Linked DNA regions of Notamacropus eugenii. The protein of the gene in region 1 purifies or fractionates together with the protein of each later gene. This does not show direct contact. Links are inferred from orthologs where the notes say so. Each region holds a gene or a part of one and is shown in the gene's direction. Other genes may lie near its edges.

What was found.
Region 2: the proteins of FBXW7 (region 1) and MED13L purify together in Homo sapiens (affinity purification with mass spectrometry; 4 studies listed by BioGRID, with this or other methods). This does not show direct contact. The link is inferred for Notamacropus eugenii from reciprocal best matches to the Homo sapiens genes FBXW7 and MED13L.
Region 3: the proteins of FBXW7 (region 1) and PRR36 purify together in Homo sapiens (affinity purification with mass spectrometry; 3 studies listed by BioGRID and IntAct, counting the BioPlex papers as one, with this or other methods). This does not show direct contact. The link is inferred for Notamacropus eugenii from reciprocal best matches to the Homo sapiens genes FBXW7 and PRR36.
Region 4: the proteins of FBXW7 (region 1) and NAP1L1 purify together in Homo sapiens (affinity purification with mass spectrometry, with the first as the bait; 3 studies listed by BioGRID). This does not show direct contact. The link is inferred for Notamacropus eugenii from reciprocal best matches to the Homo sapiens genes FBXW7 and NAP1L1.

Annotation. Positions count from the first base shown.
Region 1 is NC_092877.1:150,480,780-150,488,527, reverse strand, and holds the start of FBXW7 (F-box/WD repeat-containing protein 7), read left to right. Parts: upstream 1-4,736; 5' UTR 4,737-4,837; coding exon 4,838-4,990; intron 4,991-7,748. UniProt on the Homo sapiens protein: Substrate recognition component of a SCF (SKP1-CUL1-F-box protein) E3 ubiquitin-protein ligase complex which mediates the ubiquitination and subsequent proteasomal degradation of target proteins.
Region 2 is NC_092875.1:29,411,144-29,418,413, forward strand, and holds the start of MED13L (mediator of RNA polymerase II transcription subunit 13-like), read left to right. Parts: upstream 1-4,252; 5' UTR 4,253-7,270. UniProt on the Homo sapiens protein: Component of the Mediator complex, a coactivator involved in the regulated transcription of nearly all RNA polymerase II-dependent genes.
Region 3 is NC_092875.1:51,699,301-51,707,000, reverse strand, and holds the start of PRR36 (proline-rich protein 36), read left to right. Parts: upstream 1-4,700; coding exon 4,701-4,717; intron 4,718-4,814; coding exon 4,815-7,345; intron 7,346-7,439; coding exon 7,440-7,700.
Region 4 is NC_092874.1:255,297,577-255,305,233, reverse strand, and holds the start of NAP1L1 (nucleosome assembly protein 1-like 1), read left to right. Parts: upstream 1-4,650; 5' UTR 4,651-4,784; intron 4,785-5,347; coding exon of another isoform or gene 5,348-6,003; intron 6,004-6,137; exon of another isoform or gene 6,138-6,249; intron 6,250-7,657. Other genes in the region: uncharacterized protein, read right to left, coding at 2,057-2,179, 5,348-6,003. UniProt on the Homo sapiens protein: Histone chaperone that plays a role in the nuclear import of H2A-H2B and nucleosome assembly.

The DNA of each region.
Region 1 (7,748 bases):
ATATGAATTACATTATTTATGTTCTTATTCCAGCATTGATATGGATAAATTCATCAGTTATAATGGTTTATTATTTCATTCTTTTTTCTATTTTGTTTCCCATAATCAAAAGAGCCATATTATATTTATTTTTGTCTTAAGCTTGTCACTTTATCTTCCTGTTTATACTGCTTCTACCCTAATTCATATTCCCATCATTCCACTCTTTGGATTATTGCATTTTTTTCCTAATTGGTATCTTGTTTCACTCTCCCATTTACATTGTACACTGCTGCAAGATTAATTTTCCTAAAATATTTATATCACTCCTTAGCTCAAAAGCTTCTTTGACTCCTCTTTGCCAAATAAAGTCTAAAATCCTTAACTTTTCATTCCTGATCTTCTACAGTTTGACCTCTCTTCTACTACTTCCATATATCAACCCACAACTCCAGCTAGTCTAGTATACTCCCTGTTTCTTGCACATGCTATATGTATTCCTGTAAATATAGTGCCATCCCTTCATTATCCTATTGTCAACTTAGATCTTGCCTTTTTCCTCAAAGCCTAGCTCAAATACCATCTGCATTCACAAATTCATATAATAATCTCTCTCCTGAAATTATAAAACTCTCTGTATCACTTATTTGGGACTTAGTTCTCTACTATTTCTTGACACCTTTAATATTTTTGTCCTGTATCATTACTGAGAAGAGAATGTGATCTAGTGAAGAAAGCATTATACTTTAAGACAAGAAGACCTGGATTTGACTTGTGCTTTTGCCACTTACCAGCTGTGTGATTATTTTCAGGTAGCAACTTCACAGAACCTGTTTCATCAACTATAAAATATAAGGGATTATAGCATCCCTACCCACCTCATAGTGCCCTTGTGAAAATGAAATAAGAGAGTAGCTAAGAAAGCACAATTAAAGAATTAATTAACTACTTAACTTTCAACGTGTTTTTGTCTTCCCCCTTCTGACCTCCATTCTAAATTTTCTTGAGCATAGGGGTTATGTATAGGGTGTGACTATAAAGTAATGAAAAGTATTCTATAAGTCATGCATCAAAATCAGTTATTACCTTATATGCTCACCATAGTCTACCTCTTTATAAGCCCCTTGGACCAGTAAGGTATCTTATGAATAAAAGATAATTAATAAGTATTTTCAAATGAATAATTAAAATTTGGCCATGTGTAGAGAGCTTGTTTAGGTGGACTGCATCCCACAGATTTAATCTGAGAATTTGTAGCAAAAAAAATTAAAACTTGGCATGTTAATGTAAAATGTACCAAGGAAGTAGGGAACCTGAGGGGGAAAGGAGGAAGATAAAGGATCTTTGCAACTTCTAATATAAAGTTCATATTTCTTTTGAGACTTACTTAATGTTTAAATGTATCAGCATTTATAAGAACATAAAGAATTCTATTTTTCTTATGGGGCATAATTTTGTATTTCTTTTGTGTTTTCCAAAAGAACTTTTAGTGTTTTATTGAATTTTTCTTTATTTCTCAGTTAATTTTTTTTTCCAGAATTTTTGTAGAGCCAGAGTGATTTTTCACTTTGATTTTTGGAAGTCAGAATTGAATTTTTCAGAACAGTTATTTGCTGCTTGATGGTGCTTTTATTTATCTGTACGTATATACACATACACACACACGCACACACACTTAACATAGAAGAGAAAAACTACTGAAAATATATTGAGTATTTAAAATGAATGAGAGAATTGTTAAATTTAAGGGCATAATAACATATACAGTTTAATTTATGATAAAAGGATCTTACCTTTAGATTAAAAAAAAAGATGACTAGTCTTTCTTTAAACGGTATACATCAGATAAAACAGCGATGAGGATTTCTATCTTGTTCAGTTTGACTGAATATGTCATCTTTTGGCAACACAGCATAACTTTTGTAAAGTTGATTACAGCTTAAATATCTGTTAGGAAAGTACAAACGTGGGAGGATTTTCCTCCTCTTTAGTGGAAATGAAATTATAAATTGTATTTTAAAACATAAGGGAAACATAAGTCTGGTCTGATCTAATAGATCAGTTTAGGCTTGATTATTATTTGCTTTGTTGCAGATGAGCCATTATCAGCCTGTTATTTACGTATTTCTCAACACTTCTCCCCAGTTATTGAAGTATTTTCGTTTTTCTCTAAAGAAGGTAAAATCAAACTAGTATTATTCTCTTTAAATGTCCTATTTTTGTGTTTTCCCCCAAGGCTTAAAAAATAATGGCATAAGTTTAAACATCCAGTAATTTTTATATTTTATTGGCGAATAATTATATAGTTTAATTGTATGGTAATTGAAGCATTGGCATTCATTTACTTTTGTTTCACAGATTTAACTGAAATTTTAGCAGTAGCTTTACTATTTTTTTAAATAATCTTTCACTGATTTTTGTGATAGTCTTTTTCATTTGTATATATGATCCTGTTGGTTTGCCTCTTGCCCCATCTATATGCATCTTGAGAATCAATAGTACATTAAATTAGCTGACATAAAGGGAAAAATCATAAATAATGAATAATAGCCTTCACTGTTCCCATTTCATCCCTATTATAGCATACTCTAGGGTTTGAAAATCTGGATAGTCCACAAGTACTTAATGCTTCTGATTTTCTAATTATGTTGTTGCTTTATGTTTTCATTCTGAAAGTGTTTAAATTGAGTAGCTAAAAATGTTCATAGTTTTGTTAATATTAGTATGCATGAGAAGCTTTATGCAGACATACCTGCAATATACCAGAAACAATTATCTTCTAACCAGTCCTATTAGTAAAATAGGATTTACTTACTGATAAATCTAAAAACTAATTATTATAGCTATTGTACTTCTGGAAAGAGTTTTTGCAACATATATTTTACCTAGTTTTACTAGTAATGTCTTTGCACATTAACAGTATAATAATTTTGGATTCCCTCTCCAAGTCATCTTCCTACATGTTTGTTAAAAGCATATCATCAATGCGACCTTTTCTGATGTCTGACAGGCATCTGAAAATGTGACAGGACAATCTGTAACAGGGTTTTAGAAGTTCCCACCTCCGCCCCAATGTTATGAAAAATTTCAGCAGATAGTACTTTAATTTTGCCACATAATATGCTCTTTCGATGAATAGCCATGTAGAAGCAGCACAGAAAAAGCAGAGTCCTTGGCAATACCAGCTCAATTGCATCTGCAGATCAGGATTTAAAATTCTATGCAGCAGACAGTACCTCCAGCAGGCGAGTAAAAGGTTACTGCATTATTTTGTTTGTTTGTATCCCTTGTCTTTATGTAGAAAAAAAATCTTAAAAAAATTAATTTGGAGTTCATGCCTCTATTTAGGTATTGCTAGAAATTGATTTAACAGAAACATGAATTTGAAAAGGGCAACACAAGGTGAAGGGAGAAGCAGTACTAGCTCGTTTTAGTGTTGAGCCAAGGAGGGGAGAGATCAACAAATAAGGAACTTTTCTTTCAGTGCAGTAGAACATGAGACTCTTTTTCTTTATATCTCTTAAATTAAGCAGCTCTACTTATAATTTAAAACTATATCTAAAGAGAAATTTGCTGATAAAATATGCAGTCGATAGCCAGGAGATGTTCCAATAAGTGAAACTTACTTGAAATAAAATTACTTTATAAATGTGCAGAGTAGTTTGTTACCCTTGGATGCTGGAAACTGTAATGTGTCCTGAGTAGATGGCGGAAAATTTTTTTTTAATTTTTCATTACTGTCGAAGTAAGAATACGTTAAAAGTTTTTTTCTTCTTGGTTGTAGAAGGGTATATGTAATGTTCCTATTCTGTTAAATTATCTAGAACTAATTTTTTCACTTCATTTTGACTATTTAGATAAAGTTATGGCAGAAAATTTAGTTTTACCAAGAGTGATATTTAGTGCCTAGAACTCTTGTTTCTGTTTGATAGTAATTACTATCTGCCCAGCTATAGCTATGCGTGTTTTTTTCCTTTAAATAGTTTTCTCACTTTTGCTTCCTTTTGCAGTTCATTTCACATATTATTTGCATTGATATTTTATAGATTTCTTTCACAGTTCTTCTGTAGTTTAAAATATATGAATATTCAAAATAATTGTTTGCCAATTCTTCCTCCCCCATGCGTAGTTTTATATTGGCCACATTTCTTAGATGTATATGATTTTCTTTTTATTCCTATGTTTTAAGTTGTGATAGGGTTAAAAAGATGGAGTAAATTAATGTTGAGCCTAGTAGTAAAATTAGTTTATCACTCTGAAAACAGTCAAGTATCTGGCAGGTCTCTGGAAGTATAGAGCCATAAAAGGTCAGCAGCTCTGATTGGTAAGTTTAAAGAATCCATCCAATAATTCACTGCCTGTTATTTTTGTAAGCAATGCAGCAAGCAGTTCTTTTCCAGGTATTGAGCTGTTCTCGAACAGTGTGTACATGGCAAGGGAGGGGTGAGGCTCGTTCCTGTTGGTCGTGAAATTGTGTGCATTTACAGAGGGAACAGGTTCGATAGGCTGAGCTGAAGGAGTCATCAAACACATTTAAAGTGATGGAGGACAGAAGCAGTGGTTAGTGAAATTTTAGGACATCTTATCATAAGTTTACTCTTTTATTAAGTACTTAAATTCCACTATAAAACATTTAGGAATTTTTAAGCAACTTACCTTTAAAAGAGGACTGTGGGAGACTGCTTTTCTTGAGTTTTCTTGGTGATGAGATTGTAGCTGGTATCTGGAAGATCACTGTTGTTTTTTCTGTTTAGCAGTGTTTATTTCAGCTAGGAAGCTGCAGAATGAGGCAGTCAGCCAATTTTGAGTATATATGGGGCAGTACCAGTTCTGATTTCTTAAGGAGAAAACTCATCTGATGAGCAAGTCAATGTGTGGCTGTGGCTGCAGCATTATTTCTTCTTTCATGAAGAGGCTGGGCCGTTCGACCTGCTGCTCCGATCTGCTGTCTTGCAGCCATACATCAGACCAGTTACAGAGACTGTCCATCGAATGCCCCAGTCAACCAAAGGTAACTGTAGATTTATTTTAAATCAAAATATATAGTTAAATCAGATACATTATCATTTGGAACTAATGATAAAAGGTAAATTAAGGATGTTCTTAGCAGTTTTCTTGACCTTGCAGTAGCTATCCAATATCATTTTGTCATCATCGGGTTGTGTAGCAATGGGAACGCGCTGCAGTAATTGATTTTGTAATAGGATCAGGTGATTTACTGGCTGCACTGACAACCACTTGCTTGCTCTGAACTGTGCAACACACTAATGGATGTTGTGATTTCAGCCTAGAGTTGATTTTAAACTGCTAGACATTTAAAGCCATAGCACTTCTTTTGAATCAGGATAGGATTTTTGTTTGGAATAAATGTAGTATTAAAATAGATTTACAGGCTTTTTTCTGTGAAATGTTATAAATTATGTATTTTTTCCCCATTTTTTTGTTCATAAAATGTTGGTAGATATTAGATGTTGTTACCTGTCTGATATGATTGAATATAGTTTTTCATTCTTTTATTTTACTGTTACTTAATAAATATTTGTATGAATACACTGTATATTCTGAAAATTGAAAACGCATCTGTTCTCCTGGTTTGATATAGTACAACTCTTCCTAATGTCCTGTAAAGCTTTCCTGAGTGAAAGATACTGCTTGGCTAATACTTAAAACTCATCACAAAACCAAATATAGGTCAAGTTACACATGATAGAGTTCTGTTATTGTTATCATGATTGTCTGATTTAGCATCATAACTTTCTGCTAGGTGTCTTGACAGTATCCTTTCATCCTAATGGCTCAATGTTTTCATAGGCAGAACAACTTTTCCAATGTAGTAACGTGTTAAACTTTTCTTAAAATGTCTCTGTGGAATGTGTATCTCTTGCAGAATCTTAGGACAAAACAAACAAAAGAAATGTGGTTCAGAAGTATGTTATAAAAATGTTATACTTTTGGCAATGAAAAAATTACTTTAGTTTTAAGTATTGCCAGTATAACTCTTTGAAAACTGTCATAAGGTTCTTAACCAGAACTCATTAGATTTATATTATTTGTTTGCAGTTTTTGCCAGATGCCTCTTTTATCACTGATAATTATAAATAACACAGTATAGATGCTGCTCATGATAATTAAGAAAAGTGCAGTTAAGTTAGTTTTAAAATTTTTTATTTTGAAAATGATTACAGGAAATGTAGTGACAGTTATCACATCAGCATGCTGGCTGATGATGTAAGTGGAGGATTTAGATAGTATGAGAACCTTGTTTGTGATCTAGGAGGAATAGGGGAGAAAGAGATATAGACAATATGTGGGAAAATATAGATAATATGTTAAAGATATAGAAAATACAGAAAGAGGCATAGAAAAAGCTTGCGTAGGGCCTGCTCTGTACCTGAAACGTAGGGAGAGAGTCTTGTTGTTCCTCAGTTTTGTACCACGTGGCTGCTGCTTTCAGGAACCAGAATTCAGACTAGTTTTACTAGCACCATAGTTCAGTTGCATTGTGGTTTAAGTAGCCTTTTGTTTTCTGGTCTAGGAATCTTAGCTAGCATTTATAAATTACATTTGGGGTTCTGAACAGCCTTCTTATCCATTAATTTTTGATCTGTGCCCCATTAATAAATAAGGGACTACTTCTACCCATTCTGTGGGCTAATTGTGTAAAACTAAAATCTTTATTAAGTGAAACACTTGGCAATATTTTCCACAGGTGATTAAATTGTGAAGACATATTTTGGTTCATTCATATATACACATTGCATATAGCACTGAGGGAGATACAATGATATATGATAAATTCCTTGCGCTTAAGGAATTTTAATTCTAGTAGTGGAAATAAAATACCTATATTTTAATTCTTAGATGGTCTTCAACCCCTTCATTGATAAAAATCACAATCCATCCATGACTTCTCATCCCTTGCAATTCTGTGAATCTCTGCCAGGGGTCTTTCTCTAGCTCACTTGAATATTGTTTGAGTACCAGTATTTTTTGCTTTCAGTATATGTGTACTTATTTTGGTAGCCATATATTTATTTGAGTGTTAGAAATATACTCACTTTAAACAAAGATCAATACTTATTGTGAAATTTGGAAAACTTTTATTAATTTTTATGTTTATTCCCTCCTGAATGAACAGGTAGTTCCTAATGGACTGCTACATTTGTTCATAATGCAAGAATAATGCAAGCCTTTTTATGCTGTTCCCAGTTCGAATTTCCCACCTTGCTCTCCATTGATGAAGATGAAGATGAGATGAAGCCTCCTAAATATCCTATTTCATATTTTTCTCCCTGATAGGTTCCCTTTCAAACAGCTCATTAAGCATACACACAAGCTTCTGAACTTTTACCTGATCAGAAGCCAGGTTCTGCAAGGTCACAACTCTGATTAGAATTAGTCATCTCTGACTTACATTCTGCTGTTACTCAAAGCTGGGAGGAGTCTTCATCCTATGGAAACAGAATTCCTCCTTTTGTTTCCCATATGAATAATATCAGTTTTTCATTGGTAATATATTGCAGGTTTCTCATGCGTACATGTAAACTCTTTATTGATTTTAATTCTTCACTAATTAGTATCCCTTGCTATATAACTGTAACATTACCAGAAAAATTTTGCCGTTAAATGATGGGACTTTGTTTCAAGAAAGATCTTTAAAAACACTATATCATTTCCCAAGTGAAGTCTAGGCTGTATAGACTATATAGGTATTTATTATACTAGGACTTCTTAAGCTTTTTTCACTAATGACCCCTTCAGCACTTCTT
Region 2 (7,270 bases), on another chromosome or scaffold:
TTTTTATTTTTTAAAATTTTACATGGGACAGCTGGGTATTATTAGGTGAGGTTTTTGTTTTATTACATTCGTTTTGAAAGTTTCCTTTTTATGCTTCATAAGCATAAATATTTTTGTATACAAATAACAGAGTATTGTGTATGAAACTGAACTTCTGTTACATGAAGTTTTTTTAAGTTGATACTGGACGTAATCTGAGAACAAAATAAGTGCCCTGCTTGTCTTTGTCCCTGTCTGCTCTCCTCTGAGCATTTTCAATGTCACTTGACATTCTTCTCTCCTTTAATTCCCACACCTAACCTTCCTTTTTTCTTTGTTGACAATCAACAGGAATTTATGGAGCACCTGCTAGGTGTCTGACATGTGCCTTGGGCTGATGACAGAAACTTAGGGGCTGGCCTAGAAAAGAGCCTATATTCCAAATCCAACACAAAGTAGTTGTATAAGTATTTATAGGATAAAGATACAGATAATGTCAAGAAATACAAAGTAGTTAAATACAGGGTAGTCTGGAAGGGGAGGGTACTGCTGCTGTTTAGTGGGGGGAATGAGGAAAGACTTCATAGAGAAAGTAGTGTTTGAGCTCTGTCTTAAAGGAAGACTGAGAGAGCCTCCCTGACGTAGAGGTGAAGAAGGCTGACATTCTGGCAGTGAGTACCAGGAAGAGCAATGGCCCAGGCTTGGGAAGTGGAATATGAGGGGGCTTGAGGTCCAGTGAGGCTGGGGTCAGGATGTGAAGGGTTTTTAAGGTTAAACAATTCATTATTTTATCCTAAAGGAAGTGGGAGGCAGGGACTCTGATTGTTTGAGAAGGAGAGTAACAAGGTCCCATCTGTGAGACTTGAGGCAGGAAGACCAATCAGGAGGCTGCTTCAGCAGAGCCTGAGCTGAGGTGGGAGTCAGGTGCTCTGGGGCCATTCAGACGGCAGCCCATCATTTTAGAAGTGCTGAGAGTCCTGCAAAGGCAGTACATCATTTCATGGGTGGGGGACAGGGGCTGGGCCTCCCAGAGACTGCGATTTTCCTTGTGTTCTCTTAGCACCTTCTCTGGGCTCAATGTTCGCTGCAAACTGACCTTTCTCTCTCTGAATTTTGCGTTGAGGTTGTCGTTAGTATTGTGCGCTCTTAGTCCATTGGCCTCCTTCTTGTGGCTGCTCCTGCTGTCACCACCTCAGCCGCCCCCACTACAGCCAGAACCAAAAACAGTATGACCAGTATGTCAGGGGGAATTCTCAGAAGGCACTCATGAAGCACTGAGACCTATGGAAGAGGGGGCACATGCAAGAGGCAACAACTCAGTAAGAAGAGATGCCTTGGTCAAAGGGATGTACTTAGGACTACATGGGGGCTGGGCAGCCCTCACTTTTCCCTATTTGTGGAGGGATTAGGCATATCCAAGGCCTGATGACCAAATCAGCCCCATCCCCCAGCAGGAGTTTGGGGGATATTATTGATTGATCATAGCGGTGGGGGTGGGAGGGTGGAAACTGGGCTTTTAGGTTCTGATGGGCTAATTAAGCAGCCCCAAGGTGGGGGGAAGGATCCAGGTAATGAAGAGGCAGAATTGTTATGATCACCATGCAGGAACCCCAGAGTAGGTGGGCCCTACGTTGTGTTTTCCCATTTATATTTTTGGAAGCATTATGTGTATTGTTTTCTTTGTTCTACTTACCGTACATCAGTCTCTGTTTCCTTTTTTTCTTATAACACTATATTATGTTGTATTAAAGTACCACCCTTTGTTTAGTCATTCCCAAATGACAGGTATCTGCTTTGGTTTCAGTTCTTTGCTAGTACAAAAATGACCACTATAAATATTTTGGTGCATATGGGGATCTTTCCTTTTGTCTTTAACCTCTTTGTGGGGGGGCATATTTCTGGCAGTAAAATCTCTTGAGTCAGAGAATGAGCATTTTCGTCACTCTCTCTGCATAATGCCATAGTGTTTCTAGATTGGTTGAATTATTTCATAGTGCTCTTAATAAATGCCCATCTTTTGTCATTTTTGCCAGTTTGCTGAAACCCCTGAGTTCTTTTGATTTGCATTTCCTTTTTAATATTAACTTGGGGCAGTTTTTTTTTTTTTGGCATGGTTGTTGATGTTTTAAAATTTTTTTGAAGATTGCGTATTTTTGTTTTTTAACCACATATTTATTGGAGAATGACTTGTGGTTTTATATGTTCCCTTAGTTGTTTATATGTTTTGCTTTTAAACACTTCTCAGAGATTCTTTGCTCCCTAACCCATCATTTCTTTTATTTTTATTCTAGTTCTATTGATTTTGTTCATGGAAACACTTTTCAATTTCATGTAACTGAAATTATCAGTTTTATCTTTTTTGAATCATGTATCCTTTATTTGCTAAGAAATTATTCTTTAGACAGCTGTGAAAGGTACCTGATCTACTTATAATCTAAATTTTTAGTAAAATTATCTTTAACATTTGGGTCATCAATTTTGAATTTATTATTGGTATAAGACAGAGGTGTCAAATATGTGGTCCATGTGGGAGGCCTGAACCAGATTAAAATGTCATTGGGAAATATTTTGCAAAATGAATAAAAATGTAGTAAAACAGTTAATGTTAATATGTAGTTTTCTAAGCCAGTATGCACCTACTGGGATCCTTATGTGTAGTTGTTTCTATTTGACTTTGATGTCACTGGTATGAGATGACAGTAGTGCTTTTAAAGTTCTAATGGCTGTGTATATGTTATCTCACTTAAGACACTGGTCTAAATCTAATTTCTTCCAAACTGTTTTCCATGTTCCCCAGTACTTAATATCAAACAGGGAAGACTTACCTAGGTAAATTCTATTTTCAGGTTTATTGAGGTTATATACTTCTCTGATTCTTCCTTGGCTAGTCTTTTCTGTTGATCAACTTGAACGAGTATTGATTTTGACAGTTACTACTTTCTAATGTAGTATTGTCATTCTTATTATATTGGCAAAGCCCAACCATGAGCAGCAAATATCTGTTATTTGTTTTTTCTTGAAATAGTTTTGAACTCTATAGAGTTGATTTTGTAATCGTATCCCTAGTCCTCCACACAGTGCTTCACAATACTTAATAAATGCTTTCTCATTTATTCATTTTACACAAATATTGACTGTAACTCTAAGATATCTTATACCTTTCATAGTTATTTTGAAAGGGGTTTATTCTTGCCGTGGATTTTGTCATTACTATATAGAAATATTGTTGATTTTTGTGGGTTTATTTTGTAGCCTACTTATTGAAGCTGTTAATTATCTACATTAATTTCTCTGCTGATTCCCTAATGTTTTTTAAAGTAGATTGTCATGGCATCAGCAAATGAAAGTAATTTTGTCCTTTTTGGCTATCTTTATGCTGTTACTTTCTTTCTTTGTTGGAAACTTTCTAGAACTTCATCAAATAACACCATGTAAAGGGAACATCCTTGCTTTGCTTTTATATTTATTGAGAAGCTTTTGTATATATGGTAAATAATGCTAGCTTTTGGTTCTAGATAAATACTTTAAATCATATTTTATACTTATTCTTCGTAGGGTTTTTTATTATAAGTAAGTGCTATAATTTGTCGCAGGCTTTATCTGTAGTTATTGATATAATATGATTTTCAAATTTTTTTTAAAAATTTGATTAATTATATTGTTTTCTTATGATGAGCCATCGTAATATCCCTGGTATAAATAAAATATATAGGGGATAATTTCTTGGATAAATTGTTATTCTTTTTTGCAAGGATTTTATTTAAAATTTTTAATTAATATTTGATGGTGGTCAGGTCTTTTGATTTGTCATGTTTTCAGATTGTGATTCTTAAGTTGTCTCTGTGCATATCTATATTTAAGGTTAATGGCTTTGACTAATGTACAGATTGTTTGTTCTTTTAACATTTTCACCTTTTGCTATTTTTTCCCCCCAAGATGTTCCCCCATTTAAGAATTTTTGTATTCTAAATATATTAATCTCTCTTTTCCTTCTTTGGAAAAACTCTCCATTGTGTATTCATTAAAAAAAAGAGAAATGAGCTAATTTCTGCATTAACACATTTTTGGCTATATTAAATGACATTTTTTTTCTAATGGATTTCATTTTTCTGTTGAAGAATTCTTGAAATCCATGCATGCTCTCTATATTTAATCAAACATTGGTTCCTTTTTCTTGTAATGTTTATATACTTTTTTAGGACTTCGTACTTACATTCCTTTTAATTTTAGAATCTTCTCTCTGGATTTATCTATTTGTACTCTTGGGTTTTTTTTTGTTTTGTTTTTAGCTTTTCTCTTTTTAAAAATTTGGGAATTTCAGCCCTTTTTTCCACCTACATCTGACTTTTTGACTTTCTGGTCCAAGTTGCAGAGTTGCCCTGGTCTCCCTTCACCTGGAGTGATTCCATGTTCACCAGCCTGGACCTTAAGCGAAGTAGCCTTGGAGGGCTCAGTAGTTACCCCAGGGACTTTGGGCTTTCATCCTTTCCTTTCCCAGCTGGGCTGAATCAGCATTTGCTGCTTTTTGCAGTGATGAGGGGCTGGTGGGGAGGTTGTTCTCAACTATCTCTTTAGCCTTTGGGGTTCCTGTACCTAGGCAGTGTGTTTCCTCCCTTCACCCTAACCCCCCCCTCCCCCCCGGGGGCTCTTGACCTGCCATTGGTAGTTGCTACATGAGTAGCCCATTTTCTCTTTTTATCAAACATTTCCCCAATATTTTTTGCACCTTTTCTTTTTTGAAATTTTCTTTGGAGGTGGCTCAACCTCCTGCCCATATACCTCATTTTTGCTGTTTATGTGATATGAATTTTCATTTCTTTGGAGATTTTTCTGCTTCATGCCTTGGCTATGTAAGAACACTAGTAGAATGTTAGTATTAAAACATAGATCTTTGTTTCTGGGAGAAGTTTGGGTCACAGAAGGAACTTGGCAATTTTTCAAAGACATCCAGTTTCCTTTCCTCCTCTTGTTTAATTATGAGGCCAACTCATTCATTATCCATTTGTACTGTCTGTCATATATACGTACATATCCACATACATATGTATACATAACACACGTATGCATATACATACACACTGATGGATAAGCTCTGTAGGTTGGCCATCTAACCATATGTCAAAATTTGGACAGTAGATGTTATTCATAGACTTAGTTTTTCCTACGTGCATGGTCAGGCCAAACTTGTTTGAGTGGTTATGAATCTCTTCCAGGAGGATCTGCAGTGCTTCGAAGACTTGATTCAAATAGCACCATGTCACCAGCAAATAGGAAATGAGACTTCACCATTCACAGGGAATCTCTTTTAAATTTGGACTTTATACAAATCTTCTCCATTACAGTGATACTTGAATACTTTTGGTGAGCGTATATCACCCTGTTTTATGCCTTACTTGATGTTTAATGTCATAGTGATTGTTGAATAAGGCTATTTCTGTTACATCTTTCAGGGAAACTTGAATGATTTTGATGTATGGGTGGGAGTTATTTTGTGGGAAGAATTCTTTTAAGGTGGCATTTTATTTTACCAAATCAAAATAAAATTAATATTTGACAAATAAGCCCAGGAGGATCTCGTCTTCACTATATCTTTCATCAAATGCTAGAAAACAAAGAACATAACCCATGGTAAAGCAGTGATTGCAAAAGCCTGCTCCCTCCTGACTCCACTGAGCCTTCCCTCAATGCAGATCCTGAGGAATCTCATGGAGCTTTTGTATAGATGAAATTATCACCATGTCTTTGGTACCTATTCCTTCTGGATTCACTCTTTTATGCTCTCCTAATTATGCAGCTTCAGCACAGATTTCATTTTATGTATATGTGGTCCAATCTGGCTGCTTTTCCAAGCTTTTTTTCTGTTTGGTGCCATTTCTGCCTCCTCTGTCAGACCACCTGGGATTGTTCTTGAAGGTGAAAAAATGTCATAAAATATTTTGCAGATATTTTCTATTTTTCTTCTGTTGTCTTCCTATTTTCATAAGAATGAAAAATTTAAAAAATTTTTTAAAATGCCCATGAGTTAACTCACTTTGCTTATTAGTTGATTCCCTTGCCAAACTTTTTAAAAGCTGATTTTACTCCACTTACTTTCTCAAACTTTATAAAATAGTATTTCTTATAATCATAGCCTTTTTATGACCTTGGGGAAGCCATCCTATCGCTCTGCGCCTCACTGTTCTCATTTGTAAAATGAAGGAATAGGACTAGATGACTATCAACATTCCTTCTAGCTCTACTTCTATGAGCTTGTGATTTTTGGGAAGGATTTTGCAAATAAGTGTATTCTAAACTGGTATTGTCTTTGGCTGCCTATCTCTGTTCACTTGGCAAAGAAATCAAGTTTTTGTTGATTAAGTTGCTTTTTAGGCTTTTTGGTTCTTCGTGTTATGGTGACTGATCTACACTAGTTAAACTAATGTGTAAATTATTAAAATTGGTGCCTGTCATTTTTCCTGTCAATTACTCATTTTTCATGATCAATTACTTGTTCAGATACTTCAGATTTGAGTTTTTAAAAATTGTATGACAAGTTAATGGTCTGACTATAGTGAGATAACTGATTCAAGGCTGACTTTACCACATCCATAGTGAATCTTTTCAGATCTATTAAAATATAATCAATTATATGTATTTTCGGTAGTATTATTCAATTGATTCATTTCTAGAATAAAGTATTGATGAAATAAAGATTTTAAGCTTCTGAGACACAAGTCTTTAGCCTCTGTTATTTTTTCTTCCTGACCCATATTTTGTGCATATTCCTCAACATTTTTATTCATTTGACAGAAATAAAACAAGTTAAATATTGGTGGTAGAAGTTGTTTTAATAGGATTATACAATTTAGCTTTGGAAGGGACTTTAGGGAAAATCTAAAGTCAGCTACCTTAGTTAAGGAAGCTGAGCCCCAGAGAGGTTAAATGAGCATTCTCTTCTCCCATTTCACCTCCCCACTCCTTTATAGCATTCACCTCCCAGTGACTTCACAACCTTTTTCACAAGATAATTTTGTTAAATACAGTAACCAAATCATTATCTACTTTCTGATGTAACTGGAATATTATAAAAATAAATCATTTCTTTAAAATATTGTCTACTTTCTAATATAAAACAGTTATCTCTTTTCGAGTTGTTAGTCATGTTTATTTAAGGTTACACTAAAAAATATTTTGACTTTTTCTGACATGATCTATTTGCCTGTAGCTAGCTAGCTCAGCAAACAGCACATGCTTATAGCACACCTACTATGTTTAAGCCCTATGCTGATATCTGGGATTATAGAGATCAGTT
Region 3 (7,700 bases), on another chromosome or scaffold:
CCCTTATACATGCCATCTTTCAAATGTGCGTTATAGTCTCCCACCTCTGAAGGAAAGTTTCCAGTACTTCACCTGCTGAAATTTTATTCCCATCCTTCAAAATCCATCTTCCATTCCAAGGAGGAGCCTTCCTTCATGATCCCAGATGTGAGTAACCACTTTCTTCTGTAAAATCCCATTGTTTTTTTACTTGGTGCCCTATAAACTAGCTCTGGAACTATGCTCTACTTCATATGCTTTGGATGTATTAGGAGATGTGACTCCTGATTTCCCCAGAGATCTCAGATCTCTGCAGAAGGCTGAGACATGGAGAAAGAGTTGGAGAGAGACGGATCAGGAGACACAAGGCAAGGACTTTTCAAATGAGGTCTGGAAATCTTTCTTGGAGCCAGATATGTGGGAGAAGTCAGCCTCTCATCCTCAAAACCTGCACTTTCCACCCTAGAACCTGCTGAGAGTGGACTCTCCAGGGGGAGATCAGTCCCTTCTTCTTTGGCTGAGCTGAGGTGTTTGCTTCCAGCTTTACCATCGGCCACTCTTCAGTTTATCTGAATCTGTATAACTTCCCTGACTTTTGTTTACTGTTTTGCTTAGATAAATGGGTTTATTCAAAACAATATTCATGATGGTCTTTTACATAACCAGAGTTTAGTGGGGTTGGGAGAGTTAGGCTGGCTATTTTCAGCTATTACCTTCCTCTTGAGAACAATTAGGGACAGCACCCTTTATTTTGAACATTGCACTCCTAGACTTACAGATATTTGATGTGTGATATATAGTTATAATTCTTGCTCAATCCTCTTCTTGTAGATGAGCAAGAGAAGAAACCAGAGGCCAGCCATGATCATCATATTATTCCCAACAAAGGCTAAAATAAGTGTCTCTTGTAGAAAGGTGGGCCAGGCCCCTGATCAGATCTATGCCACACTTAACTGTCTTTTATTTATTGGATAGTATACACCCACAAATCTTACATTCATATTTCTTTTGTGGCCCTTATCTTTCTTATAGTTATTAAATAACAATACATATACATACATACACACGCATACACACATTCAGAATTAGAAGGGACTTTAGAAAAAGTCTGCCTCCCCTCCCATTTTGAAGTTAGGGAAGCTGAGAGCTTAAGTACCTTTCCAGTTTGCGTAGTTGTAAGTTGTAAAGCCTTGTTTCAAACCTATAGCCTCCAACGACAAACTCAAAGTGCTTCTGCTACAACAACACAGTAGTCTCTCTCTCACTCTCCCCTCCTCTTCCACAGGGAATCCTGTCTCTCCCCCAACCCCCACTCCCATGTGCCTTCCTCCTTCAGGGGTAGGACCATCCTTTTGTCTCTTTAGAAGGTGGAGTCTTTTGGTGAGATAGGCCCTGGTTCTTGGGTCCCTGGAGGAGTCTGGGCAGGACCAAACATCTCATTACCAAGCCCGGGGTGGAGGCACAGATCAGAGAGTCCAAATGTGGAAGGATACTCACCATGATGATTGGTCTGCCCACAAGGAAATAGACCAATGGGGTACTAGTCCCACCCCCAACCTGTCCAAAGCCTAGCCTGTCAGTTTCCTAGAGGACTTGGAGAGGCCAGGTAGGTTGAAGAGAGGGAAAGGGCTAGAATGGGGCTAGGGGTAGGGGTGGGCTTGGGGGTAGTGGTGGTGGTTGTATGTGTATGTGGTTGATGGGGGTAGGTGGGTGAAATCTAATGGGGGGAGGCCATTTGAGGGGCAGCGGAAATTCTCCTTCCTCCCACTCCCCATATGCGCCTTCTGGACTCCGGGAGGCAGTTGCCATGGAAACACCCCCTTAAAAAAATCTCCCCCAGAGATTTGTCCTCCCCTTGGTCTTTGCTCCCGCTTCTGTCCTACTGTTCCTCTCTCTCCTCTTTCATCCCGTCTCCCTTCTGCTTTCTCCCTGTGTTTCTGTCTGTCTCTGTCAGCTCCATCTTCCCCCACTTTATTTCTTCCCGCTTCGCTCTCGTTCAGTATTCGTCCCTCTTTCCTTCTGTCACCTCCTTTCGCCTGCATCTCTTAATTATTTTTCTCATCTCCTCCCCTCCTCCCCCCATCTCGCTTTCCCTTGGCGTGTCTCTCCGCTCCCTTCTCCATCTCTTCCTCGGTCTCGTCCACGTAAATAGGGGCCACTGTCCCTATCCCTCCTGCGTCGGCCCCTCTCTAGCGAGCCAAAGCTGGGGCAGGGGGCGGGGTGGGGCGGGGCTCGCCTGTTGTCTCCTCGCCCCCAGCCCCCTCCCCTTCCTTGGCTTCCTCCTTCTTCTCCCCCTTCCCCTCAGTTCGGCGCCCAGGCCCTACGGCCCGATCAGGCCCTCCCACGGGGACTCAGGTGTTGGAACTGCTGGAGGCTGAAGGTGACTGAGAGATGGGCTTGGGGGGCGCGGGGCGAGCGGAGCAGGTGGAGGGGGAGGGGTCGAGAGGCGGGGACCACAACCGTAGCGTTGGGCTCTTTGTCTCCATTAACTCCTTCCTGGCAGCCCCCCTTCATCCCCTCCTTTCGCCAGCAGGTGTCTGGAATCGAGGTGTATGTGAGAGTGGGGTGGGGGGATGCTAGACAGACACCCCCAGGAGCACACCCCGACTCAGTAGCCCCCACTCGCGCGAGAGACAGGAGCAGAGCGGCTCCCCTTTCGCTAAGCTCTCCATCTGCTCGAAATGAGGCATAGGTTTCTGATCCCTCGCCCCTTTCTCAGGCCTAGCTGGAACCTCAGTTTTCCCTCGTCTTCTTAGGGATCAGATGTGTCGAGGCTGAACACTGAGACAGGAATAGCACCTGTACTGGGGAGGAGAAGCTCTCTGTTTTATCCCTCAGATATTGGGGGTGGCAGAGATCTCGAGTTTGTGTGTGGAATCAGGGGAAGGATGACTGGGTCTGCTGGGTGGCAGAGGATAGGATGCCTGGGTCCTGGGTGGTGGCGTCAGGACTATGCTAGCTCTTCGGGGGGAGGGGTAGATGGTGCTAATCTCTCTCTAAGCTGTATATGGGGGGGGTGGAGGGGGAGGGGTCCCCATCTGCCATCTAATTCCCTCAACCCGGTGCCAAGGGGCTGGTTGCTATAGGATGTACACAGGAGAGCTGGCCCCAGCTGGAGGGGGAGGCAGGTATTTGGCTCCCTCCTCCAGTGGAACAGAATACAAAAGAAGTATGGGGAGCATGGGGGCTGGGACTGAGGGATTGGACAGTTGGGTGCTGGAAAAGGCAGAAGAGACTGGGTGGGGGAAGGTACTGGTATGTCTGGGTGCTGCAAGACAGATTGGGATGCAGGTGTCATCCTCTGTCTTTGTTGCAGGATGAATACTGGAGTTAAAGCCAAAGCTGGGGGGAGTCGATCCCTGGCTCCCCGTCTGCCTAGCTCCTCAGTGCCAGGGCCTCTTGGGACTCCTAAAAGATCAGGAACAGTGCCCCCACGAACCACTGCTGAGCCTCGAGCTGTGGTAAAGAAATCTCCAGGGGAACAGGCAGGAAGAGCAGCCCCCGTCCTCAAGGTAGCCACAGCCCTACCTGGGCCCCCCAGAACCAGCAAGACAGGCCACAGCGTTCCTAGCACAGGTACGGGACCCCAGGTCTTGTCTCTTGCCAGCTCCGATTCCTGAGGCTGCTTCTAGGACCTTAAACCTGTCCTGTCTCTTGACTCTTGGTCCTACTACCTAACAGTGACCTTGAATCCTATTCCCCCACCCCTGCTCCTCCTTGATGGTCCCTCCCTTTACTATGCCTTCATTTCTCTTCTCCAAATGTCAGAGAATAAAGGGAGCGGAATTTGGGGAAAACAGATTGGCTGGCTCAAGCTTCCTGAGGTGCCCTCCAGGACAGATAATGCAGGACTCCTGGCCTTAGAGGAAGGCCTCCCCTCATCCATGCCCTGTCTCCCTCTTCCCCCCCCCCCCATCCCCTTTCAAAGGTGTGTTTAAGGTGTTATGGGAGGACAGAGGAGGTCAGGATTGAACTGACCTGGAGTGTCTCCCGGTAGTGCCCAGGCAGCCTTTGGTGAGGAAAGCGGAACCAGTCCCAGGTGCTGCTGGCCGAACCTCCAGGAATGACCCTTCCCCAAGAATGTCCCCTCTCCAGACTGCTCCCTCCTCGGGCAGGTATGACCCATTTCCAGACAGGGACCTACTCAGGTATGACTGAACACTAGGAGTAACAATTATCCTTCTCTGGTGAGCTTCTCCCCTAACGACCCGTCCCCAGATAGGGCCACTCCAGAGTTGGACCCTCCCCACCCATGGCCCCTTCCCAGGCAATGATCCCCTGCCCAAATTGGTCCCTCCTGATTTATGACCCTTCCCTAACAAAACTCCCTCCCCAGATATGCTGTCTTCCCAGGTGTGGCTCCTCTCAGGGGCGAGTATATTACAGGGAACAGATTTATTTTACAACCTTAGATGCAAATGTGTATGAACCATTAGCTCTTGTTCTAGGGAAGGGGACAGGTCCTAAAAGACTCTGGGGGACCTAAGCTAGCTTTTCTTATCTGACCCAGGCTTTCTTGTCTCATCTAAGGTCAGGGCTTCAGGGCTCCAAAGTATCCATTCCAGCCAAGCAAGTCCGCTCTACCCCTGCAGAGTCTGCAGCTAAGCCTAAGGCATCACTAGCTTCCAACCCCACAGGTCGGAACAATTCGGTCCCAGCAGAGGCCAGGAGAGGTAGGAGGGTCAGGGGGATAGTGATGGCATGGGGCTCAGGGCCAGAGGATGGTGGCCTGTCAGCAGTGAGGAGTACCCAGTGAAGGGATTTGTGGGGAAAGGGCACCAGGGAAGGAGCTGGGGCTGACACCGCCCGCACTCCCATTCCAATTTGGGGAGGAGCCAAAAACAACCACTAGGTGCAGGCAAAGGGGGAAGGTCTCCTAGGGTCTTGCAAAATGACTTTCCCAGAGGCCTTTCTCTTGTCCTATCTCTTTCAGATACTGCTCGCCCAACTCAGGGAGCCCAAGTCTCAAAGGCTGGGCTCCCTGGGTCACGACTGCCCGGAGCCTCAGGACCCGAACCAGGGTCTCTGCGGGCTCCCCCCAAATCCAGGGCCCAGCCCTCTCCCCTACCCAAAGCCACAGCCCCCAGAAGAACCTCCAAGAGCCCCGGGGACCCTGTCTCCAGCCCAGCCTCTGTGGTCAGGAGGAAGTCCAGCGAAAGTTTTTCTGGTGTTCAGTCCCGCCTCCCTGGACCCACCCGTCGCCAGGACAACACTTCTGCGGCCTCATTGGCCCAGACCTCTCTTCAGGCCCTGCCCTCAACCTGTCCAGTAATTCGGTCCAAGGGTCCCTCCCTTCCCTCCACACCCCCGCCTAGCCGAAAAGAACAGGCTCCACCCTTAGCCACACCCCCTAAACATGCTCCTCCCCCTTCCTTGACCACACCCCCTCCACAAGTCAATCCCTCTCTGTCCACATCCCCTCAGAAGGCCCCACCCTCTCCCTTAGCCACACCCACTATACAAGCTATACCCCCTTCCTTGCCCACACCCTCTCCACTAGCCAATCCCTCTCTGTCCACATCCCCCCAACAGGCCCCACCCTCTCCCTTAGCCACACCCCCTATACAAGCTATACCCCCTCCACAAATTAATCCCTCTCTGTCCACATCCCCCCAGCAGGCCCCACCCTCTCCCTTAGCCACACAAGCTACACCCCCTCCACAAGTCAATCCCTCTCTGTCCACATCCCCTCAGAAGGCCCCACCCTCTCCCTTAGCCACACCTCCTATACAAGCCACTCCCCCTTCCTTGCCCACACCCCTTCCACAAGCCAATCCCTCTCTGTCCACATCCCCCCAGGAGACCCCACCCTCTCCCTTAGCCACACCTCCTATACAAGCCACTCCCCCTTCCTTGCCCACACCCCTTCCACAAGCCAATCCCTCTCTGTCCACATCCCCCCAGGAGACCCCACCTTCTCCCTTAGCCACATCTCCTATACAAGCCACTCCCCCTTCCTTGCCCACACCCTCTCCACAAGCCAATCCCTCTCTGTCCACATCCCCTCAGCAGGCCCCATCCTCTCCCTTAGCCACACCCACTATACAAACCACTTCCCCTTTCTTGCTCACACCCCTTCCACAAGCCAGTCCCTCTCTGTCCCCATCCCCTCAGCATATTCCATCTTCTTTAGCTTCCAGTCCTCTACTGATCCATCCTTCTCCTTCAGTCACATCGCTTCCTCTGGCTCCTCCCTTTCTGACCACAGACCCTCAACAGGTCCCACCTTCTTCTCCCTTAGACCCGCCCTCCCTCCAGGCCACATCTCCAGCCACACCTCCTCCACAGACCCCTCCCTCTCCTGTGGCCACACCCATCCAGCCTATTCTCATTCCTTCAACCACTTCCACTCTTCAGGACCTGACTCCTCTTTCACCCTCTGAACAAAGGGCTGACTCTCTCCTGGCCACACCCCTTATTCAGGCTCCACCCTCTCCCTTGGCCCCACTCTCCCCCCCTCAGGCCACTCCTCTTCTACAGGGCTTTCCCTTAACCACATCCCCTTTACAGGAGCCACCTTTGCCCTTAGCCACGCCTCCTCGCCAGGAGAGGGTGGGGCTTTCTCAGAGGCTCTCCATTTTAGCCACACCCCCTCTACAGACCCCTCCCATTCCTTCAGACCCACCCTCTCACTTGTTCCCACCCTCTCCTCCCTTGGCCACACCTCCTCTTCAGGCCTCTCTTTTCCCTTTGGCCTCACCCCCTCCTCAAGCTACTCCCTTTCCTCCAGCCTCACCCCCTCTGCAGGTCCTTCCTTCTCCCATAGCCACACTCTCTCAACAAACTCCATCCTTTCACTTGGTCCCGCCTTCCCCACCCCTGGTCACACCCCCTCTTCAGGCCCCTCCCTTTCATCTGATCTTGCCTTCTCAGGCACCATCTTTGGATACTCGCCCTTTGCAGCCCCCTCCTATTCCTCTAGTTTTGCCCCCTCCTCCCTCTCCACTAGCCACGCCTCCTCTTCAGGCTCCTCCCTCTCCCCTGGACACACCTCTTGTGCCACGCTCTCCCTCTCCCCTGGCTAGAGCACCTGTGCTGACCCAACCCCACTCACAGACTGAGCCTCCTGGGGAGCTGTCCCTTCCCGAGCCTGTCTTGTCCTTGGGAACCTTGGGTGGGGAGCTGTCCAGAAGCCCTTCCAGCACTCTGAGTGGCCCGGACCTTGCTGGCCACAGCAGCAGTGCCACAAGTACACCGGAGGAGCTGCGAGCCTATGACAGTGGTCCCGAGATAGGAGCCCCAGCTTCGCCCCCACCTGATCCTGACCTCGAACTTGCTGCCTGCCATCCTGCTGTCTGGAGCCGGCCGGGGGTCCCCACACGGAGCCCCTGTACCACCTCCCCTCGACTTGCCCATGCGGTCCCAGGTAACCCCAGCCAGGGAGGAGAGGGAAAGGGCCTGGAGGAAGAGGGCAGCTTTTTAAAGAGGGGAGGTCTCAATCCTGTCCTTCCTTCCTCTAGGTGAGCCACTGCCCTGGTCCCCTATGGCTGGGCCCCCAGATGGCTTGTCCACAATCTATGAGGCAGAGGCCCCGGAATCAACATTTGGGCCCCCAAACAGGGAGGCACAGGATCAGGAGGAAGAGGATGATCAGACCGTGGAGAAGATGCCTCCAGCTCCACGTGGTCCCAAGGCAGCTCGAGTGGGTGAGCTGCAGCTGGGAGCATTGCAGGCCAGTGTAGTACAGCAGTTGCTGAGTCGGACACTGCTGTTGGCTGCAG
Region 4 (7,657 bases), on another chromosome or scaffold:
AATGTTATAATAAACCAATCATGTTTCTATTACATTACATAAATAGGGACAGGGACTTGAAATTATTTCACTGGTACACTTATTATGTAAATATATTATTCAATTACAATAATATATTATTTTTAGAAATATGAACATGTTCGATTACAGCAACTGAGAATCAAAAAAAGTGAGATCATGATGTGTAGAACCGAGAACTAGCAGAAGAGAGCTTTCTTTGTACAGGAGAATGCTAGTCCATGACCTTGGTCAATAAATGTGTTTTTTAGTACTGTATTTATTGAGAAGCCAGACCCTCATGTCCTCCCTAAGGCAATTCAATGCCATTTGTTTTTTTTTTCTTTTTCTCCACAGTTTATTCTTATTCCCCTCAATTCCTGAAATTTACTTAGCACTGTAACCAGTGCCAATTCTTCTTTGATTGCTTTGAGTTTCCTCCTTCTATTTCTATGAGCAGCCTTTTCAGAACGTTAAGACAAGAGTCACGACTTATTCCCCAGTGAGTTTTTAAAAAATTGAGAAATGGAAGATGTTGAAAGTCTATTTATGAAAAAGGTCTATTTGTGTCAAAAGGTGCCTGATGACATTACAGCATTTCCTTTTTCCATATCATGTAATTTTCTTTTAACATAATATTTCTAAGGCTTCATGTATTCCTTTGCATTTGCTTCACATCATCAAATGAAAATGTGTCCCCTATAGGGAAATTTGCTCTTGTTTTGCGGAGGAAAGAAAACAAATTCAAAACAAAGTTTTGAAATGTCCCCTTGGGTGGGATTTATATACTTCGTATATCCAATTGTATGATAATCCATCTGAAATGTTGTAATGAAAATGAGGAAAGTATTTCTATGGAATATGGTGACTTGCTTTAGAAGTTACAGTTCTCGTGGTTTTTCTAAATGGCTGGCCCATGTGAAATTGGGATCATTATCACCCATAACCAAACAAAATGAACACAACAGAGCTGGGAAGGCAGAATTTATAAAGCTAAAAACTCAGAAGAAAAGCCCTTCTAGACTCAGATGTAAATGACTCAGTACTAGTTATTTAGCACTATTTGTCTTGCGTCCCATTGCTGTAGACTTTGGATATTTTATACAACAAATTTAGAAGCTACAGGACAGGTCTTGTGAAAAAGATCTGGTGGGTTTGGTGGACCGCATGTTCAAAATTGAGTATGACAGTATAAAGATAATCCTAATGCTCTCCTACGCTGACCTGAGAGGCCTAGTGTCTGGGAGACGTAAGGTGACGTTTGGGTGAGCAGAGTCCATCTGAAGGGGTGGGTGGGGCTGGGTTCTGAGAGCCACATCTTTCAAAAGGCACTTGGAGAAGCTGAGAAGTGGGGAAGAGGGGGGGACCAAGGTGTTAAACCAGGAGAAGTCTTAGGGGGGCACCTAAGGACAGCTTTTTTAAAGGAAACCTTTATTTAAGCATCTGGAGGGCTACCACATGAAAGAGGGCTTAGTTTTGCTCTGCTTGACCCAAGGGCAGTACTAGGAATAAGGAAGGGAAGTTGTAGAGAGGCAAACTTTGGCATAATGAAAGGAAATACTTCTCAACAATTAGAACTGTCCAAAGCGGCAATGGGTTAGCCTGGTGCTGGGCACTTAGAAAATGCTTGTGCACTAACTGGGTTGATTCAATAAGTAGTGAGTTTCTTCTCACTGGAGATGTTTAAGGCGAAGCTGGAAGGACCACTTGTTTGTTATTCCATGGAATAAATCCCTAGTAGGGTAGAGATTGGATTTGATGTCCTCTGAAGTTCTACCTCCTCCAGAACATGGATAGAATTTTCCAGATTTGTAGGAGCACAGTGAGTATGAAGCCCCTTCACGTGCAGAAAGAACAGGGGGTTACCAAGAAGTCAAGCACCCCATCTGCCATGTGAATGAACTCTGCCTGGGGATTTTTATGCCAACCTCACGTATATTAGTCTAGACCATTTTATTTTTACAAGTTAACAAAATATAATAGGGTAGGGATCTGAGTGGTGATTTCCTTCATGTAGGGAACTTCTGGATATAGGGGAGGGTAGCACCTTTTCTTCCGTTTATGGTCTTAGAGAGTTGCTTAGAACACTAAAGGAAACTGCAACTTGCACAAGGTTAAATGGCCAGTGGGAGCAAGGCAATCTGAACCCTGGTCTTCCTGATTCCACTCTCAGTATATAACACTGCAATAAAACAAAGAGAAGACAATTAAAAGACAAAATGAGAATTATCATTTCCTCCAGAAGGCCATACATGGAGCCTAGGAACTGAAAGAAGGACCCAAAAGAGCTCTCTAGACTTTTTTCATTAGCGCATTAATATGTTCATCAGATTCACTAATTATCACTTTAGAAAGCAAAGAGGGAGCCTGGCCCTGACGTGATGAGGTAGAGGGAGGGAGGTAAGTTAAGATCAACTGGGGCTTTGGGGGAGAAGGATTCGATTAAATTCCATTCAGGAATTATTCCTCAAGTTCTTACTATGTCCCAGGTACTGTACTATGTGCTGGGATTATTGACTGGGGCCAGTGACTAAGGAGAGAAGGGCCAAGTGCAGTATTCCTGTGGGGGCTCTTTGCTTCTGGGCCAGGGAATCGGGGAGTGAGCTCCTGATCTAGCTCTTTTGGTCTTCAGAGATTATAGTTTATTGTTACTACTGTAAAAACAGTGACACAGTACATAAAGTGCTGGAGAGAATTCTGGGAGGAATCAAGATAAAGATTAATTTCACACCAGTCACCATTTTGCCTAGGGCTGGGACAGTTTGGGACAGAACTTAGCATGCAGTGGGGAAAATAATTTGGTTCATTTCTACAATTTTGTTTAAAGCTACAATGAGAACTTGTTTTGCAGGTAGCTTTGACTATAATGTAAGATCCTTGAGGGTCCTGTCAAATCAGTTAGTACAGTAGCAGGGTGGAAAAGGCATTGGACTTGGGAGTGTAATGGTTCCTGATGAGGGGGTAGAATTAGATGATTTCAAAACTCCCTTCCAACTTTATTATTATGTAGCACCACAGAATCAGGTCCTATTTTTGCTACTTAATAGGTACCTTACCTTTGATGCATTATATACATTTCTTAGACCTTAGTTTCCTCATTTGTCAAATATGGGTCATAAAACCTAGACATCAATGTTTATGAACAAGCATTTATTTACTAAGATGTGTACACACATGTACGGGATTAAATCAGATGCACATATCTATATCTATATCTATATCTATATATATAATTTATATTAGGGGTTCTCAAACTTTTTGGTCTCAGAACCCCTTTATACTACACTTAAAAACTACTAAGGAGCCCCAAAAGAGCTTTTATTGATGCAGGTTATACCTATTAATTTCTTTTTTTAAACACAAGAGAAAATATTCTGCTTCATTATGCTTTCCAATTCCATAGTCCTTTCTCTGGATATGGATGGCATTTTGCCTCAAGAGTCCTTTGGGAATGTTTTAAGTCCTTGCATTGCTATGAAGGGCTAAGTCTATCAGACAAATTCCTTACACACTGGGGTTGTTACTGTGTACAATGTATATCTCTTAATTTCTGCTGGGTTAGAAATTAAAATGTTTTAATATTATATGAAAAGTTTTGCCCTCATGGACCCCCTGAAAGGAATCCCAATCCACACTTTTGACAACTAACTGCTGGTTTACATTATTTAGAGATTTAAGATTCACTAAGCACCTTCCTCACAACCCATTGAGGTTTTATGTACAAGGGAGGAAAGGGAGGCTCAGACTGGTGAAATGATCAGAGCTATAACTAGGGCAGGGCAATCGGACCTTTGCTTCAGGGCAATGACATTTAGAAGGTGCTGATTACACTGCAGTCTGCCACCAGCACAGAAAAAACTGAGGTTGACACTTTGTTAGCTAGAACAATTAGTTAAAACACAAACTATCAGATGGTCTGCTTTTCCTAGAGGTGCACACTACAGGATCTGTGGTTCTCTACTTCCCCTTCTTTCTCCAGAAGTAGCCTCAAGGAGCCTGGAATTTCTGCACTTCTCCTTGCTCCGCTGAATTTTTTTTTAAATTGATTTGATGACATCAGTAGGTGTAAAGACTGCTCTGAAAGTGACTAGCTGGTACCAGCGTCAGATTACGAAATCTGGGCTATATTCATTCACTTCATTATGTGAAAACACATAATAAAGGATGCCAATATACCATTAAAACAGCACTAGAAGGGTGGATTGTCTTCACCGTGTACTCAATACCCTATTGACTCCTAATAAAGTAGAATTACTGACACGGCTAATTTTAGCCTTTCAAGAATGCTTTAAAAATAAGCCAGGTTAGGGAGAGTGATAGAGGAAGGAATGAAGGAGGATGGTTAAGGATGACCGAAAGCTTCCAACCTGCGGAATAAAGGGGGAAAAATAGAAAAGCCTGGGGGGGAGGGTATCTGCCCAGCAGCGGGGGGGGGGGGAATCTGCCCAGCAGGAGGGCAGTATCTGCCCAGCAGGGGGGGGGGGGGCAGTTCACTTTAGTGAGAACGGCAGGGCTGGAGGGCTGCATCAGTGAAGACCGTGGAGGTGATTTGCTACATTGGCTGATTAGGGTAGATGACTCCCCTCAGTCCGAGTTTAATGACAGCACCAAGTTCGCCGTGGGGGAGGGGAGGCAGGGGCATTCCGGGAGTTATAAATGAGTCAGTCCAGCGCCACAGGCCGGACTGGTCTGAGCGAGTGCCCCTGCCGGGTGCCAGGCTGCCCCGGGACGCCAAGCTCTCGTGCGACGGCTCCGGGAAGGTGGGCACGCGAGCTCCGGGGGGCCAGGTAGGGCGCTTCTTTCTGCCTCCTCCCACCCCCCGTTACTTCCCCCCTTTTCTCTCGGTCTTCTTCCCACGCTAGGCACCGAGGGAGCGCTTATGCATAATCAATATTAATGGATGGATCGCATCCTCGGGAAGCCCGGAGAGTGTAGACAGCCGCGAGAGAAGGGGAAGAGTCTGCATCCCCTAGAAGGGAAGGGACGAGGCGTCACGCCCGGGCAAATGCCCCCGGGGGGGGCGGGGGGGGGAGGCAGGAATGGAAGACGCGTCGGACCACGCAGGGGCAGGGCAAGGCCGGAACGAGGCTAGGGGCGGGAGAGCCCGAGCCCGGGGTTCTTTCCCGCGTTCTGGCGAGCACGCGCACGCGCGCCGAAGACGTCGGGGGCGTTTGACCCTCCCCACCCCGAGAGCCACGAGGGTTTGTGGAAGTCGGCAAGGGGAGGGGGGGGAGAGCCCGCACGCGTGCCGGAAGCTGGCCCCGTTGCTAGGCGCCCGGCTCCAGGCCCGCCCCCTCCGCGTTCCCCGGGTGACCGCCGAAGGGGAGGGGGAGGGGTGACGGGCACTTACGTGCTGACGCTGATTGTATATGAGCGCGAGCGGCGGGCTCTCGGGTCTTTTTAGCGCCATCTGCTCGGGGCGCCGCCTCCTTCTCCTCCTCCTCCGCCTCCTTCGTCTCCTCCCGCCGCCGCCGCCCTGAGTCACAGCCTGCGCAGCTCCGGCCGCCTGGTTCCTGCAGCAGCCGCGGGTAACGGGAGCGGGCCGGGAGAGGAGGGAGCGCGCGGGGCTTCCAACGGCCGGCCGGCCCGAGGCGGGAGGGGCGTGGGGGATCCGGCGGGGCTTGCCCGCCCTGCCGGGGCCTGGTCTGCGCGCGAACGTGGGAGCGTCCGGGGCCTGGGTCTCGGCCGAGGCCGACCCCCAGCTTGAGGACCGCGGCCCGGGGCGGCGGCGAGGAACGTGAGCAGTGTGGGCCGCAGCCCCTGGAGAGGACCCCGGGCTGGGAGGGAGGGCCGGCGGGGAGCGGGGCGCCGCGCGTGGCTGCGGGTGGGGGCGAAGCCGAACACTTCTGGCGCCCACCACCCCCGCGGGAGAGCACGGCCGGGGGGGCGCTGCACCCTGCCGGCTCCGGGGGGCGGCGGCCAAGTTAGGGCCGGGGGCGAGGCGACGTTTGTCCGCCGCCCGCAACACGTGGTGGCCGCTGCATGGCCGCCGTCCGCCCCGGCCCCCTGCTGATCATCCCCCGGCATGGCCTTCCTCCTCCCATCCCCCTTCCCCTTTTTGATCATCCCGCCCCCCTTCCGATCATCCCCCACCTTTCCCTCCTGACTCCCTCTACCCCTCCCTTTACTTTCTCGTCAAGCAACCCTGAGCTAGTTGAAATCTTTGCCAAGAAAAAAACAGTAAACCTCCTTTTGGACCCTGAAATGTCTCCTCCTTGGGCCTTCTGATTAAACACCGGCTGACCCTCAGTGGTAGGTCCTAGGGAGGGTCTGAAATGATTTGCAAAAACTAGTAACAAATTTGGGGGGTTTGTCTGTCTCCTGTCCCAAGTCAAGGAATGTCCGGGGGAAGGGAATCCGTGGCCACTGGATAGAGGGCTGGACCTGTGTGATCCTGGCCCGGAGGTTTATAACTAATTCATCTCTCTGTCAAGTTGCAGAGAAGGTGCTTGCCTGGGAGTCTGTTACCAAGGTCAGCACCTGCCTGGGTCCCTCTGTGACTTGGGGGCTTGCATAGCCACTATGTCTCAGAGAAAGGACCTAGATCTTCTGGCTTTCCCAAGGCTGCTTCTCATTAATTAAAGAGCACTTTTTGCCTTTCCCGTTTAGGAACTGATTACCCAGACTGATGAAATAAAGTTAAAATTCTTATTCCTTTTCAGATTGTTTGTATCCATGTTGTGGCTAATTTCTCAATATGTTTAATTAGAATGACCAGTTCCCTTTGGGGAGGGCAGGGCAGGGTGAAACTTGACGTGTGATTTTTATTTTTTATTTATTTAGTATAGGGAGCTTCCTTTACTTTCTCTACCAATGTAGATCTATACCTTCTCAATAACTTAAAAGTCATAGAAGAGTTGTCTTGGGGCACTAAAAGGTTAAGTGGTTTATTTTGGCTTAGAAGTTGAACCTAGGTTTTTCCTGGCTCCTCTGCCAGCTCTGCTAGGCCACATTCACTTGATATCCCTGAAAAATTGGTTAGGGAATGCCAGCGCAGACTTTTTTTAACCTGGTCTTTGATAGGACTGATCTTAATACAAAAGAATACATTGCAGTTAGATTTGGTGTCATGAAAATCAAACTGAATTAACATTTCATCCATCAGAGAAGATTCTACTTCTAATAGATAAATGGATACATACACCACAACCTAGACTATACTGTATATGCTATATATGCATATGTGTAGGCAAGAAGCCTATGACTGGATTCTGAGGGAATCTAAATATTAGAAAAGTTTGGGGGCATTTTTTGTCATTACAAATGTGTAACTTCATTGCTGGGCCTACTGATTAAACTTTCTTCAGACCAACAGTTGTTTTTCTTGATTGCTTGATTTTTTTTTTGGCTGCTAGATGGTGTGTGTGGTAGATAGGAGGCTAGCCTTACTGTGAGGAGGAAGACCAGTGTTTTTAATCTTTGAGACACTAGTTATGTGACCCTAGTCACAAGTTAGCTCATGAGTCTTCCCACCTGTGTAAAATGAAGGGATTGGTCTTGATAGGTAGATCAAGATCCCTTCCAGCTATTTCTCTACAATATCTAACTTGTACTAAAAGTAACTCACAAAATACCATTTTTAGAGCATTCTGAACTGAATGAAGTAAACAAATTATTGTTTTCATGACAAGAACACCCACATAATTGTTAAACTTCAAAG